Linked DNA regions of Mus musculus. The protein of the gene in region 1 binds, or shares a complex with, the protein of each later gene. Links are inferred from orthologs where the notes say so. Each region holds a gene or a part of one and is shown on either strand. Other genes may lie near its edges.

What was found.
Region 2: Dr1 (region 1) and Yeats2 share a complex: the UniProt entries of both Homo sapiens proteins name them as parts of the ADA2A-containing complex. The link is inferred for Mus musculus from reciprocal best matches to the Homo sapiens genes DR1 and YEATS2.
Region 3: Dr1 (region 1) and Mbip share a complex: the UniProt entries of both Homo sapiens proteins name them as parts of the ADA2A-containing complex. The link is inferred for Mus musculus from reciprocal best matches to the Homo sapiens genes DR1 and MBIP.

What each region holds. Positions count from the first base shown.
Region 1 is NC_000071.6:108,267,188-108,272,443, reverse strand, and holds the start of Dr1 (protein Dr1), read right to left. Parts: upstream 3,548-5,256; 5' UTR 2,855-3,547; coding exon 2,635-2,854; intron 1-2,634. UniProt on the Homo sapiens protein: The association of the DR1/DRAP1 heterodimer with TBP results in a functional repression of both activated and basal transcription of class II genes.
Region 2 is NC_000082.6:20,206,274-20,211,076, reverse strand, and holds part of Yeats2 (YEATS domain-containing protein 2), read right to left. Parts: intron 3,454-4,803; coding exon 3,284-3,453; intron 2,659-3,283; coding exon 2,500-2,658; intron 1,046-2,499; coding exon 869-1,045; intron 1-868. UniProt on the Homo sapiens protein: Chromatin reader component of the ATAC complex, a complex with histone acetyltransferase activity on histones H3 and H4. YEATS2 specifically recognizes and binds histone H3 crotonylated at 'Lys-27' (H3K27cr).
Region 3 is NC_000078.6:56,338,881-56,343,683, forward strand, and holds part of Mbip (MAP3K12-binding inhibitory protein 1), read right to left. Parts: intron 3,530-4,803; exon of another isoform or gene 3,476-3,529; coding exon 3,356-3,475; intron 1,724-3,355; coding exon 1,505-1,723; intron 1,418-1,504; coding exon 1,321-1,417; intron 1-1,320. UniProt on the Homo sapiens protein: Inhibits the MAP3K12 activity to induce the activation of the JNK/SAPK pathway. Component of the ATAC complex, a complex with histone acetyltransferase activity on histones H3 and H4.

The sequences.
Region 1 (5,256 bases):
AGAGATGGGCTGATCTCTGAGTTCAAGGCCATTCTGGTCTACAAAGTGAGTTCCAGTCCTGTCTCCAAAAAACAAAAACAAACAAACACAACCAAAGGGGATGGGGGAAGAGAGAAAAGTTCTCAAAACAAAACTTAAGGTGATTATATAATATGAGATGTCAGTAAAATCTACACTAATCTGAGCAAAATTATAGATATTCCTATATACTTAATGGCAACATTAAAAGATGAGGGTAAATTTGTGAATGACAACAGACTAGTTCAGTTTCTAATAGTGGATTGCCATCATCACACAGAAGAAAATAGCCTTTCAGTGTAACTTTCTAAGTCATACATTAAACTGAAGTCACATTCCAAAGTTGAACTATTTAGTACATGGCTTGCTACAGCTACACTTCAATCATGTCAACTGGAACTCTAAATATATCCTAGAAAAGAATGAGCTTTCCCCCAGGAAGACAGATTGTGTCATTAGATTTTTGGAACAATCACCATTTCTGTGGTTACAAACAAATGTTTAGGCAGATCCTACTGAAATCTGCCATTTTCATTAAAAAGTTGATGCTTGACAAAGGCAGTTCTTCTATTCCTTCATAAAGAGTCAAAGGAAATGCTAGCTATTTGTTAAATATCTTCTCAAAGACTTAAAAACTCAAAAAAAGAAAAACACATTGGCTTCCATTTTTCTTACCACTCAGCAAACCAAACAAGAAGGAAAAAAAAAAAAAAAACCCAGTTTTTTTTGTTTGTTTGTTTTGTTTTTCAAGACAGAGTTACTCTGTATAGCCCTGGCTATCCTGGAACTCACTCTGTAGGCCAGGCTGGCCTCGAACTCAGAAATCCACCTGCCTCTGCCTCCCGAGTGCTGGGATTAAAGGCATGCGCCACCACGCCCAGCTCTAAAAATACCAGTTTTAAGAATTAAGTATGTCGGCTGGAAATATAGCTCTGCAGTGCAGTGCTTACCTAGCACACATAAGTTCAGCACATACACACAAAAGAATCAAATAAGCAACAGGGAACGGTGGTTATATGTCCATAATCCCAGTATTCAAGATACTGCAGGAAGAGACTCTTAAGTTTAAGGCCAGGCTAGGCAACACAGTAGGATCCTATTATCATCTTGCCTTTCCTAACCCTAAAAAAAAAAATTGCTTTTTTTTCTTAGTTATCTACTATGTACTGAAATGGCAGAGTATATGTGTATATAATATGACTATTTATATACATACACACACACACACCATCATGGCTCCACTACCTACTGGGATTGACTTCTGCCATGCTAAGTACTCAGCCTTGAGAGACACCCTCATCACAGCAGGATGTATTTTTAATCTACCATCAGCAGAGGATAAAGGCTCAAAATTAATCAATTGATCTTCTTGTCAATATTGACGGTGTAAAATGGATATGCTCCATACGAATACATGTGCTCTCTATTTGACATTAACAAGAAAGTAAAATTATTTAACACTTAACTTTATAAAAAGGCAATGGTAGAGAACTACCTGCCGAGTATGATTAAATTTGTTCCTTTTAACTTTAAATAAAAGTAATCAAGAAATTGTTCGCATTTCCAATAGATTATTATAAAACAGAAGTGACTGTCTCAAACTGAATGCAACCTTCTCCTAAGAGTTCATGAAAAACCACAGAAAGTACTTCCCAAAATTTGCCAAGAGCACTTTTGTCTCCTTTTCCTGTAACCATCAAAGTCTCCTAGTCTTTTCCAGCATAAGGAAGAAACTGTCGAAACTTTTAGATGTGCTTTTCAATAAAAGATAAATGTATAAACACATCCAAAGGGGACCAGCAGGCGAGAAGGACCGGCAACAGAATGCTGACTAGCGTGTGTCAGGCCCTACGTTCAAGCCCCAGGACTGTCGTTCCCGCCCTGCCCCAGTCATCTTTTACAAATAATCTTCAAAGAACAATCAATAGTTGGAGGGAGTCAAAAAGAAAAAAATGTGGTGCTCGCTTTGGTTACCTGGTGATGACTGTTCCACCTTCTTAGCGATTTTAAAGCAAAAATATACTTCCTTTTTGAAAAGCAATTAACTTTACAACACTTAACACACTCATGTCAATATTTTTTTTTAACTCAATGCTAGGACCCTTGTGCAAGATTGCTAGATGATACACCACTGACCTCCGTCACCAGCCCAAGGGTTTTTCCTACCCCTGTGTTCAAAAATGAATCTTTTCCTCGATACAGGTGAGGGAGAGGTACTCTCTGACTCAACTCATGCTCGAAGTTCTAAAATTTAACTTTCCAAGAGAGAACTTTGAGTTTCCTTTCTCAGTTGTTATTATCCACGTTTAGCTGTGGGCAGTCAATTCTTGTTGTTTTAAGACCTGATTGGAAACTGTACTAGTGAGGGGTTGCGGATGTCTGTTGACCCTAATGTCTGCACTCCTTATTTGCACTAGCCGGATGAAAACAATGTCAGAAGAATGCTACATAGGTGTTTTCTTAAGGTACAAGCTGTCTCTATGCCGTTTTGACTTTTCATTAACTGTGCTTACTAGTGAAGTGGAATGAAGGCTCTGTGACGCCAAGTGGTTACTCTATTAGCTTGACTGTTCCCCTGATCCTTCATCGAAACCAAATCCCACACAAATCGCTTACCTTGTATAACATGCTCTGGTGAAATTGTCTTCTTTTCTGACTTGTTACAAATCTCGTTGGCTTCAGAAGATATAAGGTGAATGAATTCCGTGCAGCAGTTCACTACCAGCTCTCGGGCATCGTTGGCCACCCGGACATTAGGAAGAGTCTCTTTGATCATCTTATTTATAGCAGCTCTGGGGATAGTGAGATCATCGTCGTTGCCAGACGAGGAAGCCATCGTATCTTCCTGTCTTTCAAGCCCCAACTTTTAAACTCCTCGCCTCTGGTCCACCACTCCACGAAGATTTCTCAACAGGCTGTCCCTGGAGAGGGATGTTGGGGTCCGGGAAGCTCAGAGAAGAGAGTGCAGAAACCAGGAAGGAGGGCTGGAGGGCAGGGAACACCCACTGTGTGAGAGATTTTAGTGGGAATATGAAGGAAAGGTCAGGGGGCTGAGGGTTCTAGGGACACCACTCCCAGGGCTGGAGAACCACCCTGCGTGTCGCCTCAAACGGACTGGCGCTGTCGTCTAACCGAACCTAAACGGCACGGGAGCGCACGCAAGACAGAGGAATACCCGCCCGGCCGCGGTCCCGGGCGGACACTGAGCAGGGTCAGCTCTACAGAGCCGGAGCCCCCGAGGACGCCGCCACCAGCAGCGGTTGCAGCCGCCTCGGCCAAACCATCCTTCAGGCACCCGCGCCGCCGCCTCACAACATGTCTGCCGAAGCCGCAGCTGAGCGCACGCCGGCTGCCTGGGAAACCAAGTGGACCGGGCCGAACACTGCGGGAGCCGCAGCGGCCAAGCGTGTGGCCGAGAGCAGGCTGTGCGAGCAGGAGCGGCGCTAACGGTGGTCTCTCTACGGGCCGGGGAAGGAGGTTTGCCGCAAGCTGATCCCGGCACGCTTTGCGCCACCGGAAGTCGAACTCCCCAGGTCCCACCCGCCCTCCTCGATGGATTTCCGTGTGCACGCCCCGCCCCTACCCCCTCCCGGACGGGCGGGAGCCGCGGGGCTTGGCAGCCCGCAGCTTCCGCCTGCCGCTCCCCCACGCACGGCGACCCGGCGTCTCCTCCGTCGGGCCCTGGAGCTCGCTTGCTCTGCGGGCAGAAGGGCCCGCGGAGGGCCACGTGGCAGGGGAGCCCTGGTCCTTACTAAAGAACTTCCTTTTCCTATCTCCTTAGCTGTCGGGATTAGGGCGCGGAGTGAAAAGAGCAGAGTGGGGAGGACAGGCCTTTACAACTACTTCACAGCATTCAGATCAGAGCTCCCTGTTCTCATTTGTGAGAAAGAAATGAAGCCTTCAAAGAAGTGGCTGTCCTCGGTACCACAAGTGGCTAAGTCAGGAAACTGGTAGTCTGATCTAAAGTAATGAAAATGTTTGGCATACCATGAGCTATGGCCCTCTGCATACTTGCTTTTGAAAGGAAGACAAGAAAAAAAAAAGGTTTATCTTATGAGAGTCCGATATCTGCTTCGTTCCAAGTGATTACTAATAACTAGTGCCACGTTCATCACAGAAATCACTTTTTTTTTTTTTTAAGATAAGCTCAGCTGGGCGACAGTGGCTCACGCCTTTAATCCCAGCACTTAGGACACGACACTCAGGCAGGCAAATCAAGTTCCAGGACAGCCAGGGCAATACAGAAAAAACCTGTCTCAACACACGCAAATCCTCACATACTGTCACATTAATTAATAGTGGAAAGTTGTAACTTTTGAAAGGACTAAGCCAGTTAAATCTACGTGCACAGTTTAGTTCATCGTGTTCTTTGTTGATAGACTGGCAGCTGGACTGTGGCAATGCTTTAAGATGTCTGGTTTCCAGGAGACTATCATTGTCAACCATCCCCTCCTACCCACCTTACTAGATGCAGCTTCAGCACTGAGCTAGAACACCAGCCTTGAGTTAATTTTTTCATTCAACATTTTCTCCAAAATGCTTGCTGGGAACTAAATATTCTTCATTATATCAGTGCTAGTAAGTTCAATCTTTGATTATAAAGAACAAGTTTCTTCTTCAAAATAAGTAAATTTTGGTTCAGATGTATAAAGACCTAGATAAAATATTAAAATCTAGATGGAATGTTAAGTCCTAGGTAACTGTTACCTGGTTAGCCTGCCATTTTGTGCTATTACTATATTATAAGCAAACTTTCTCATATGGGAGTCATGTCTACAGAGTGCTTCTGAGTTCTCCCAAGCCACTGTCTAAATTGTTTATACCTGCAACCCCAGCTTTTCTTTATTTTATTTTATTTTATTTTATTTTTGCTTTTTGAGACATGGTTTCTCTGTGTACCCCTGGCTGTCCCGGAACTCTATAAACCAGGCTGGCCTCAAACTCAGAGAGACTTGCCTGCCTCTGCCTCCCAAGTGCTGGGATTAAAGGTCTTGGCCACTGCAAATGAGTTCAACTCCAGGTTTGAAGTACAGTATTTTTAACTTTAAAAGTTCACAAGATTTTAAAGATGAAAAAGAAGTATAAAAACATAAAGGAAAATGTCAGTAAAGACTTTACACATTTAAAGGACTATTGTAAATGAAGTCACATGGGAAAATGGTACAGAGAAATATTTCTGGAAAATCAAACTAGTAGGAGTCAGAAATGGTGGCACCCAGCTGCAATGCCTGCATTGGG
Region 2 (4,803 bases), on another chromosome or scaffold:
GCAACAAGTATTCTTAGCCACTGACTTTCTTTCCAGGCCCTAAGGATGTAGGCCAGTTTAGTGTAACTCTTCTAACTGGCTGATGGGAACATGAAATGGCACATCTACATCGTCAGCTCCTCAAAATATTAAGAGTTCCTACATAAGCCAGCAATTCTACTCCTAGCTCTGAGAACAAGAAAAATGTCTATCTACATGTTTATAGCAGCATTCCTAACAGTCAAAAAATAGGAAATAAAAATTCCATTAAGTGATGGACAAAAAAATCCATAAATCTAAGTATTATTCAGATATAAAAAATGGAAAACTGATAAATGTTAGAACATAAATGAATTCTGCAAATGTCATGTAGATGGGTATAACTCCAGCACTCAGGGGGCAGAGGCAATGGCTAGTCTGAGCTACATAGTGAGACTGTGTCAAAACAAACAAAACTCTCACTAAGCAGAAGTAGCCAGACATAAAGGGCCACATGTATTACTACATTTATATAAAATTCTCCAAACAGAAAAATTCACGTGGAAAGACTTGGGCAGTCAAGACGGCTCATGAGTAACAGTCAGAGTTTGATACCATGAGTGTGGAGGGAGAGAGAGAACGAACTCCTGCAAGGAGTCTCTCATCTCCACACCCACACCTACCTAAAAAAAAAAAAAAAGATAGAAAAAGAAGGTGAGTGTTTTGTATAGGACAGGGATGGAAGCAATGGGATTGGAAAGGAGCTGCTGACTGGCATGGAATCTCTTTTGGGGACAAGGAAAATGAGCTGGCCAATGCTATGACTGTCTCACATCTCAAGGGTGTGGCCTTTGTGAAGGTGTCCTGCTCAGCCAGGCTCATTTTCACACTGGCCTTCTGCTTTCCTCACCTGGTGTACAGCACCATTTGCTGAGAAGGCCACTGCAGGGGAGGGAGCAGCTGTGATCACCCCCCCTGCCACTCGAAGCATCGTGGTCCCAGGCTTGGCGAGCTGTGGAGCTGCTGGCACTGACTTCAGGGTGTTGTCTGGTAACTTCAGCAGCGATGCCTGCCCAGCAGTGGCTGCCTGCAGCCATCAAAAGATTGAATGACAACATTGCACAACTTACTCCTTATCTGCATTTGACTGGATTTAAGAAAGTCTTGCCAATGAGGATTGTGTGGCGTGCTATGAACCCTTCCAACAAGTTGAATTCTATAACCTCTGAGGTTCCCTTACACGAAAATGGAACAAATAAATGGATGTATTCCTATTTGTAATTAGTATCTTCAAAGATATCAGGTCCTTTGTTTTCAAAAGAATTGAGTCAAAGTTTTCTTAAATTTCATGGTGTATTTTTGCATTTCATTTTTGAGTGTGTGGTGTGATGTATGTGCAAGTGCACTTGACTGTACATCTATGGAGGCCAAGGAGGACCTCAAGTGTTCTGCTCTATTAGTCTCCGCCTTTTCTCCTGTAGACAAGGTCTCTCAGTGACTGTGGATCTAGACTAGTGGCCAGCTTCAGTGACCCTACAGTGTCTGACCCAGCAGCACTACGGTTATGTGTGCATGGCCACACTAAATGTAAAACAAAAATCTTTAATTACTGTTATTTTGGGTGGGGACAGCTGTGCACATGCTATGATTTGTGAAGTTGGTTCTTTCCACCTTTATGTAGACTACAGGGATTAAACAGGTTGCTATACTAAGTACCTCTACTTATCTACATGAGTGCTGGGAACTTGAACTCAGGTCCTTGCTTAAGTGTTCTTACCCGCACACACCTTTAATCCCAGCACTCGGGAGGCAGAGGCAGGTGGATTTCTGAGTTCGAGGCCAGCCTGGTCTACAAAGTGAGTTCCAGGACAGCCAGGGCTATACCAGGGTTTTTTTGTCTTGAAAAACAAACAAACAAACAAACAAAAAAAAAAAAAAGAAAAAAAAAGGTGTTCTTTCCTATCTCCCTGGAAAGGCTTTAAACACGAGATACTAAAACCACGTAGGGCCAAATTCAGGCAGGTGAGTTAATGGTGCTCTAAGGTAGACTCAGGATCCATCCATCCACCTACCTCCTACACCTACCTAGCGACCGACAGGGATTTTTTTTTTCTCTGTACATGGCCTTGACTGGCTTCAAATTCACAAAGGCCTGCCTGCATCTCTTCATCTGGCCCCCTAACCCCTTACTTGAAGTTTGACAGAAAATACAGCACGCCATCGCATGAAACGGGGACTTATTTTAACTCTGTGGCCTCACTGTGGATCCTGCCCCCCTTACTGTCTTGTCTAAGCGGGGACTGTCTTGGCTAGCTTCAGAGGAAGAGAATGTACCTAGTCCTGCGGTGACTTAAGGTGTCAGGGTGGGCTGGTACTCAGGGGGGGACTTCAACCTTCTTAGAGATGAAGTGGAGGATGGGGTTAGGGGAGAGGCCATCTTGGAGGGGGTACTAGGAGGAGTGAGGGCTGTGATGTAAAGTGGATAAATTATTTAATGGAAAAAAATTACCATGTGTCAAGCATGCAGATGGGTACGCTTACCTGTGTAAACAAAGTGGTTTTCTGTCCAGAGATGACTTTCAGTGTCTGTTGTCCCTGTGCAGATGATGAACTGACTCCCAGTGTTCCTTGAACCACCGATGCAGTAGTCAGTTGTTTTCCAGGTGTTTGGGGTGATGGTTGGCCAACTAAAAATGTACCCTAAGTTGGAGGAAAATAATTCACTAAAATACATTAAACTCTGATGGCCTCCAACTATAGGCTGTAATGTCTCGGCTGCCTTCTACAACTCAAAGAACCAATCACTAGGAGTGCCACTAGGAAGCCCACCCTACTGGTTTAAAACCACAACTGGATTTATTCCTACTTTCTTCAATTGGAACGACTGGACCATGTCTGAATACGGCCGTGGAGGAGGATAAAGACTTCAACAAAAAGAAAAAGAAGAATGAAGCTTGTCCTCAATGAATCCAACCCGAACACCACAACCTGATGCTGCCTCTGCTTTGACCTTTCTAAGAGCAGAGTTTCAATTGTACATTAATTGTTTACTACCTAGTAGATGGGGAGCGGGGATAATTAGCATAGCAGGCTCTTTCTTTGGGGCAGGAAAATAGGGCTCAAATCCAAACTCTACCATTAGCTTAGCAGGAAGGTCTTAGATTAATTATTTAATCTTCCTGAATCTATCTTTTTACTTCTCAAAACCAAACAAGCTCAAAATAATACAGATTTAATGTCTACCATGGTAAAGGGAAATCATAATAATTAAAGGCATTATCAGGAAGTGAAGTAATTTACAAGATCAGGCATTTGCTTCCCAGACCTGGGGGGTTTGCTTGAGGATGTAGGATGTGTAAGTCAGGTGCTGGGGGCCCCCTCCTGGGCCAGAGGTGCTTGGGGTTCCTCCTGCTCCGCTGCCACCGCCACCTCCACTGCCTCCCCCTGCACCACTGCTGCCACTGCCACCAGCAGCAGCCGAGCCAGACTGCAGGTCTGTAAGCAAAATGGGTGACAGGAGCATCACAGGAAGTAGCTCAACAGGAAAAGCAGATGAGCGCAGATGCTTCGCCCACACTACCGTTCCTCCATGTCCTGCTCATCGATGACGAGTGAGGAAAACTCCCCAGAGTTTAAAGACGGAGACTGAATCTGCTTAGACTTTCAGCATGTACAGTCTGGAAATCTTAAATTCAAAGCATTTTGGATACTGAAGTAACATCAAAGTTCTAGATTATGGAGCATTTTAGATTTTTCGGACTATACTTGATAAAGTCTCTATAAAAATTCCAAATTCTAAAAAACTGCAATCAATGCCTGGTCTCAAGCATTCTAGATAACAGGACACTTGACTAGTACTTTTAAAGAGACTGGTAGCTGACTATACCTCCACTCTGAGTACCAATGAAGATTTTTGACAGTACTTTGACTGAAGATGAAAATCTGATGCTAATATTTTCTAGACAACATTTTTAAATCAAATTAACCATCTCTGGCTCCAAGTTCTCAATTCTTTTCAGATCAAAGCCTTCCCCCTTTCCTTCCATGGTAGTGAGCTACGTGGTCTGTAGTAAGCATACATTTAACAAGTTTTGCCACCTTGATTACAGCAAGCACAATCCTTCAACAGCCTCTGACCCTGAGGAAGGTGGAGACCAGAGATGCTGTCTGCTCTCACACAGAATATGGAGGCTGGCCCTTCCTTACAAATCTTTTTGACACTGTGCTATTTAGGTGTGAGGAAAATAGAGTAAGCGGCAACAAGCCATTATAGAAATGTTAAGTGGCTTAACAACGTACTGGGCAAGGGTCAGTCACTTCTCCATCTAAGCATTGCCAGTCCTGATGAGATTGCGCATATCTGAGGTAGTCTGTCAACAGCCAAGGGACGTCATTTCTAACAAGCCTGGCTCCTATACTTCAATTCAGAGGGAAATCTATATTTTCGACATCACCCACACCTGTCAAAGCAAAAGCTTTATGTAACTAAATAAACTACATAGTGTCCTTGGGGCTTTAAGACACATACTTAGACTGAACCTGGAATTCTCATTTCAACTCCAAACCTAGTAATACAACCAAAAACTAGTCACAGAGACTATGCCAGCACATCTGCGTCAGAAGAAAACAACCCTCCAGTAAATGGACCCTTCCCAGAATGCCCCACATAACAGTGTCACTACCTAAGACTATGATAATATTTAAACCCACTGACTACTTAAAATATATATAAATCCACTTGGGCAAATTCTTCCATTACACAATCAAGCAGAATTACAGAAACACTTCCTGGCTCAGGAAAGGATGGCCCTCAGCTGGACAAGACGGACCCACGTAGAGACCCAG
Region 3 (4,803 bases), on another chromosome or scaffold:
CTTAAGTCTAACAGACCTGTGATAAACTGAAGTATAAATAAAATTGTAAACCTACTTAATCATTTATATTTAAAGATTAAACACTCATTTTCTTTTCCTTGGAAACACTTCAAAATACATGTAAGGGGGTCTACACTTCTTTCTATTCTTTCATTGGTCTAAGGGATTTTTTTAAAAAGCTACCATCCATTCCAGGGCTACATTGCAAATGCACAGAGCCATCAGAGAGCATGCAGCATAGTGTGGGGACAGGGAATGCTCGTCACTCTCCACAGCAATTCTGGCTAGCACTGTTTTGAGCCAGCAAGGACTGAATGGGCTTAGGAGTCCTGCTGAGCATTTCAATTCTTGTCAATTTCTATCCCCTGGTGGTTTATAATAATAGAGTTAGCAGGAGGAACAGAGGAATAACATTAGTGACACATGTCCTTGCTCCCTCAACAAACCCTTTCTCTTGAGGCGTGTACAGCTGGATTGCCACACCTGAGATTTTCCACTGTTACACCTGCTCTAAAGAGCTAATTCTAGGGATCCACACAAGCTAAAGCAGAAAAGTTTAATTTAGAATCCACAGTAAGCCCACGTTATTATGTTAAGAGTGTCACATATCAATGTGATTATGAGTCATTTCCAGGTTCAACGGACAATTTCATGTTTATAATCATTAACTAAGAGATATTAATGGCAGTAAGAAAAAAATGGTCAACCCAATTACAAACCTTTTTTCATAATTTTTTTCTAAGAACTACTTACAGTCTGGTTATTACAAAGCTAACTGGTTATGATCTGTGGCAATCTACACAGTCTATGGGGTTCTGCAGGTCCTCTGCAGACCTGGAAACACTGTAGCCCCAAACGAAGAGGAAAGGGAGACAGAGGCGAAACGGCAAAGGTGAGACAGCAGTGTGAAAAGGGAGAGGCCTGGGGCTGAGGCTCCACAGGACTTCATGGCAAGCTGGGTGTATCCACCATGAAACTCAGGAGTCAGGAGAAAACTGCTCCCTTGTGAGGGGTGCAAGTAGTGCTACTAGGTTCGCTGGTTCACCTTCACTTTCTAAAGGAACTCTGATCTTCTTGAACCTGTGGTAAACATCTGTCTCTAGAGTTCGGCCTTCACTTGGATTTTTTATGTAACCAAAATGAGAATCAGTTTGGCAACAGAGCCCATTACTAAATAAAGGAAAATTCTACTACCTTAATTATCAACTAAACACCTGCAAAATAGAATCTTGTTCTTAATGTTATATGTTTTTAAAACAAAATATTATAGCAGTTGTCAAGATGTTTAAAATTCTGTTAAAAAAAAAAACTTGTAGTTACCTTGATTACAATCAATAACATTGCAAAATTCCCTGACATTGTTTTCATTGATTTCAGCTTGTTTTCTCTCAATAAATGCAGATATTCGTCTGTCAATCTAAAACAACAAATAATTTAACAATCTAAACACAACAGAACTTTTCAAAGTAATGTTACCCTGACCCGTGTACCTGTCCACACTCACTTCTGCTTTTCCAGCCTTGATCTGAACTACTTCTGGGTCAAAAAGGTTTTGTGTCTTTTTCACATCTCCTACATCACAGTCTTTGGGCTTCCCTTCATCTTGTAGGTCCTCGGTGGGATGTATGGCTCTTAGTTCACTCTTGGTCTCTGCTTCTGTCTGTCTTATCTCTGTAGCTGTTGAGTTTTCTTTCATTAAAGACTGAAGTTTTGCTAAAAAAGGCTGGAAAGAACACAGTTACATCTGTTCAGGTTCAAACTCATCTCAGCTAGTGATAGATTTATCTAAGCTGCTGCTACAGAAATGAATATTATCAGTTATTAAACATAAAAAGCTGGCATACAAGGACACACAGATCTTAACACACACAGGTTTGCTGTTTTCTACTACTGTACATTGCCCTTATCATTTACTGTACATTTATTTTTAAAAAAGAAGAAAAGAAAGAAAACCTGAGGACATTTAAATTTTTCTTTGAGGAAATCATTCTGTCATTCATCTTTTATTTTGTGCTAAATCAAAGCCTCAGACTCTGGCCTGGATGCCTCTTAATTAACATGTCATTCAGAACACTAGGCTGAGTGTTCTCCCTCCTTAGCAGGAGGGCAGTGCTCACTCAGCAAAGCCCTGCATTATCACTGTATCGCTGAGACTCTCCACTTCAAAGTACAGTTGGCCAAAATGAATGAGAGAGCATGGATATGAAGTATATAGGTGTTACCCTGAGTGAATAGTCAGCCTTTCTCTGTCATAGTATGATATCTTATTGGGACATGAAATGAAATTTCACAAAAGAAAATGCACACGGGGAGAAGAAAGAGAAAGGAAGGAAGGAAGGAAGGAAGGAAGGAAGGAAGGAAGATAGGTAGATAGAAAGAAAGAAAACAAAACATGCTATACACGTTGGAAACAGATCATTCCAACTACAGTAGGTTAAAAAAAATGTCTTCATAATGGAAATTCACTTCCTTTCCTGTCATCCCCACCTGGATATGGTCCACATTTGAGTTCTATAGCTCATCACTTGCCCTTTAAACAAAGTGTTAACTGTTATTTTTATCATGAAACACAGCTAAACATCCCAGAAAGTACTCTTCTGAAATCTTCTAACATCTTCAACAGGGTAAAGTGACCAGAAAAAGCAGTTCTGCTTATCCTGATGAGAGAAAACCTCCAACTCCCATCAATTACACTCGCAGAGATGTTAAACAACAACAGCAAGGTTATAATACTGTTCATTTCTTAAACTGAAATATTAAAAATGTAACAATACCATTATAAATAATTCAATATTGACTTCCAATAAAGGATAAATTATTTCAAATTATTAAGATGAAATAGTGACTGGCTACTCACTAAGATGAAACATTAATGTCACAGAAATTACTTTCTTTTTAAAAACTATGCTGAAACTGTTTAATTGCAATAGACACTCCAGGATGTATCATGCTGGGATAATGCCACTTCTTGAACCACTGAAAGCACTCCATGAGCCTCCAAACTCACCCAAGGCATGGAATCATTATCATAGCATGACTCACACCTGCCGTGTCTTATTGCTTAATTATAACCCACCATAGATGAACTGTATTGAATTTTCAGCAAAGCCTAGAATTGAATAGAATTGCATTTATTCAATCTCATACCCACATTGGCCTATTGGGCTATATTCTCATAACTATTCCGATCACTAGTGAAATTAACAGACCTAGACTCAATATGGATTTTAATAACCTTTTATTAATAATACTGTTAACAGAATGTTGAGGTAGAACTGAAAAATACTCCAGTTAATTTAACTATAGGTAATTTCTATTTTCAATATCCAGTAAATATTTCTAATATGAAATTTACCTGTAAATACAAAACGTGTTGTTCAAGTGCAGTAAGGAGCAGTGCAGGCTGGGATGCTGAGAGGCTCTGGAGCCTGTTCCAATCGATTGTAATTTTCACCACATCATCTCTGAGGTTAAGCTTCAAAGAGGCAAACCAGCAACATCACAAAAATTACACGATTAAGCTGTATATCTGGGATTATCACAAAAATAAGATTTCTATGGAGTAATGCATGCCTATTTTGCTCAAAGTTACTAAGTTTCAATGACATAATAAAATGCTTTACCCAGTTGCCATTTTAAAAAGCCAAAAGGCACAGTTTTGAAAATAAAAAGTAAAAACATGTCTTATTATTTTAATTCTGTTCCTGGGGCCATCTTTGAAAAGCCATCCATGAAAGATAAACCTCTTTTGATACTTTGATATTTTAAAGACCACTGGAAGGTATCCAAAAATAGATCTGCCCTAGTCAGAATCCTACTGAATCCCAACTAGGCATTCAACAGACGAAGATCAACTACGACAGTCCAGAAAGTGTATTCTCTTTGTTACATATCACACAAACACATGCCTAAAATATATCATTACTCTGATGTCTTCTCAATTATTTTTATTGTTTTCAAACTTAGCTAATTAAAAAAGTATTTAAGACTTAAGATTATTCACACATAGGGACAGATGACAGTAACTACTTCAAATAAAAATTAAACTATCAGTTATGAAATTATTGAGATAAAAACCAAGTACTTTCCCAAAGCAGTACAACGAAGCCAAAAGTCAATGTCCAGTGTGTTTCCTAAGGGTTTTCTAGAAAGATATGTCTCATAACACGGAAACTTCTCACCAGGTAGTGATTTATTAGAACAAAAGTATATCCAGAACACTACCAAGAATATAAAATTAATATCAAAATCAGTCAAAACTTTAGAGGGAGAAGCTTCCACCTGTACATTTGACTGAGTATAAGGGAATCACTATAAACTTTGCTAGACACAATTCAAGTGGAAACAAGTCAATTGTACTTATTTTGCAATAATAATTTATTAAAAATTATGTCATATTTTCTACAAAGTAAAGATGCATGTTTCATGAGCTCAAATACAAATTTAAAGAGCTGTAAGAATAAAAAACCAAGACATGTGCTGATGGATTACTTTCATATTCAATAATAAATGCAGTTATCTTAGTAATCTTATCGTCAAATCTTAACTTAGTGTAAGTTTACCTATGTCAGTATAGCCTATGTAAAATTTCATATTTCTTTATGTTTGCCAAATGTGGACTTAGATGCCCCTGGTCTTAGGCAGTAGGTTTCTGTATCCACTATTTATACAGTAGAGTGCTTAACATAGGAACCTGAGATCTCTTTGGTTCCATGGACAATTCATGTCTTGTTTTTTTATTTTTACAGTTCATTATTCTTGCCACAGTCAACTATAGAGCTCTTGGCAGATTTATGTTTGGGG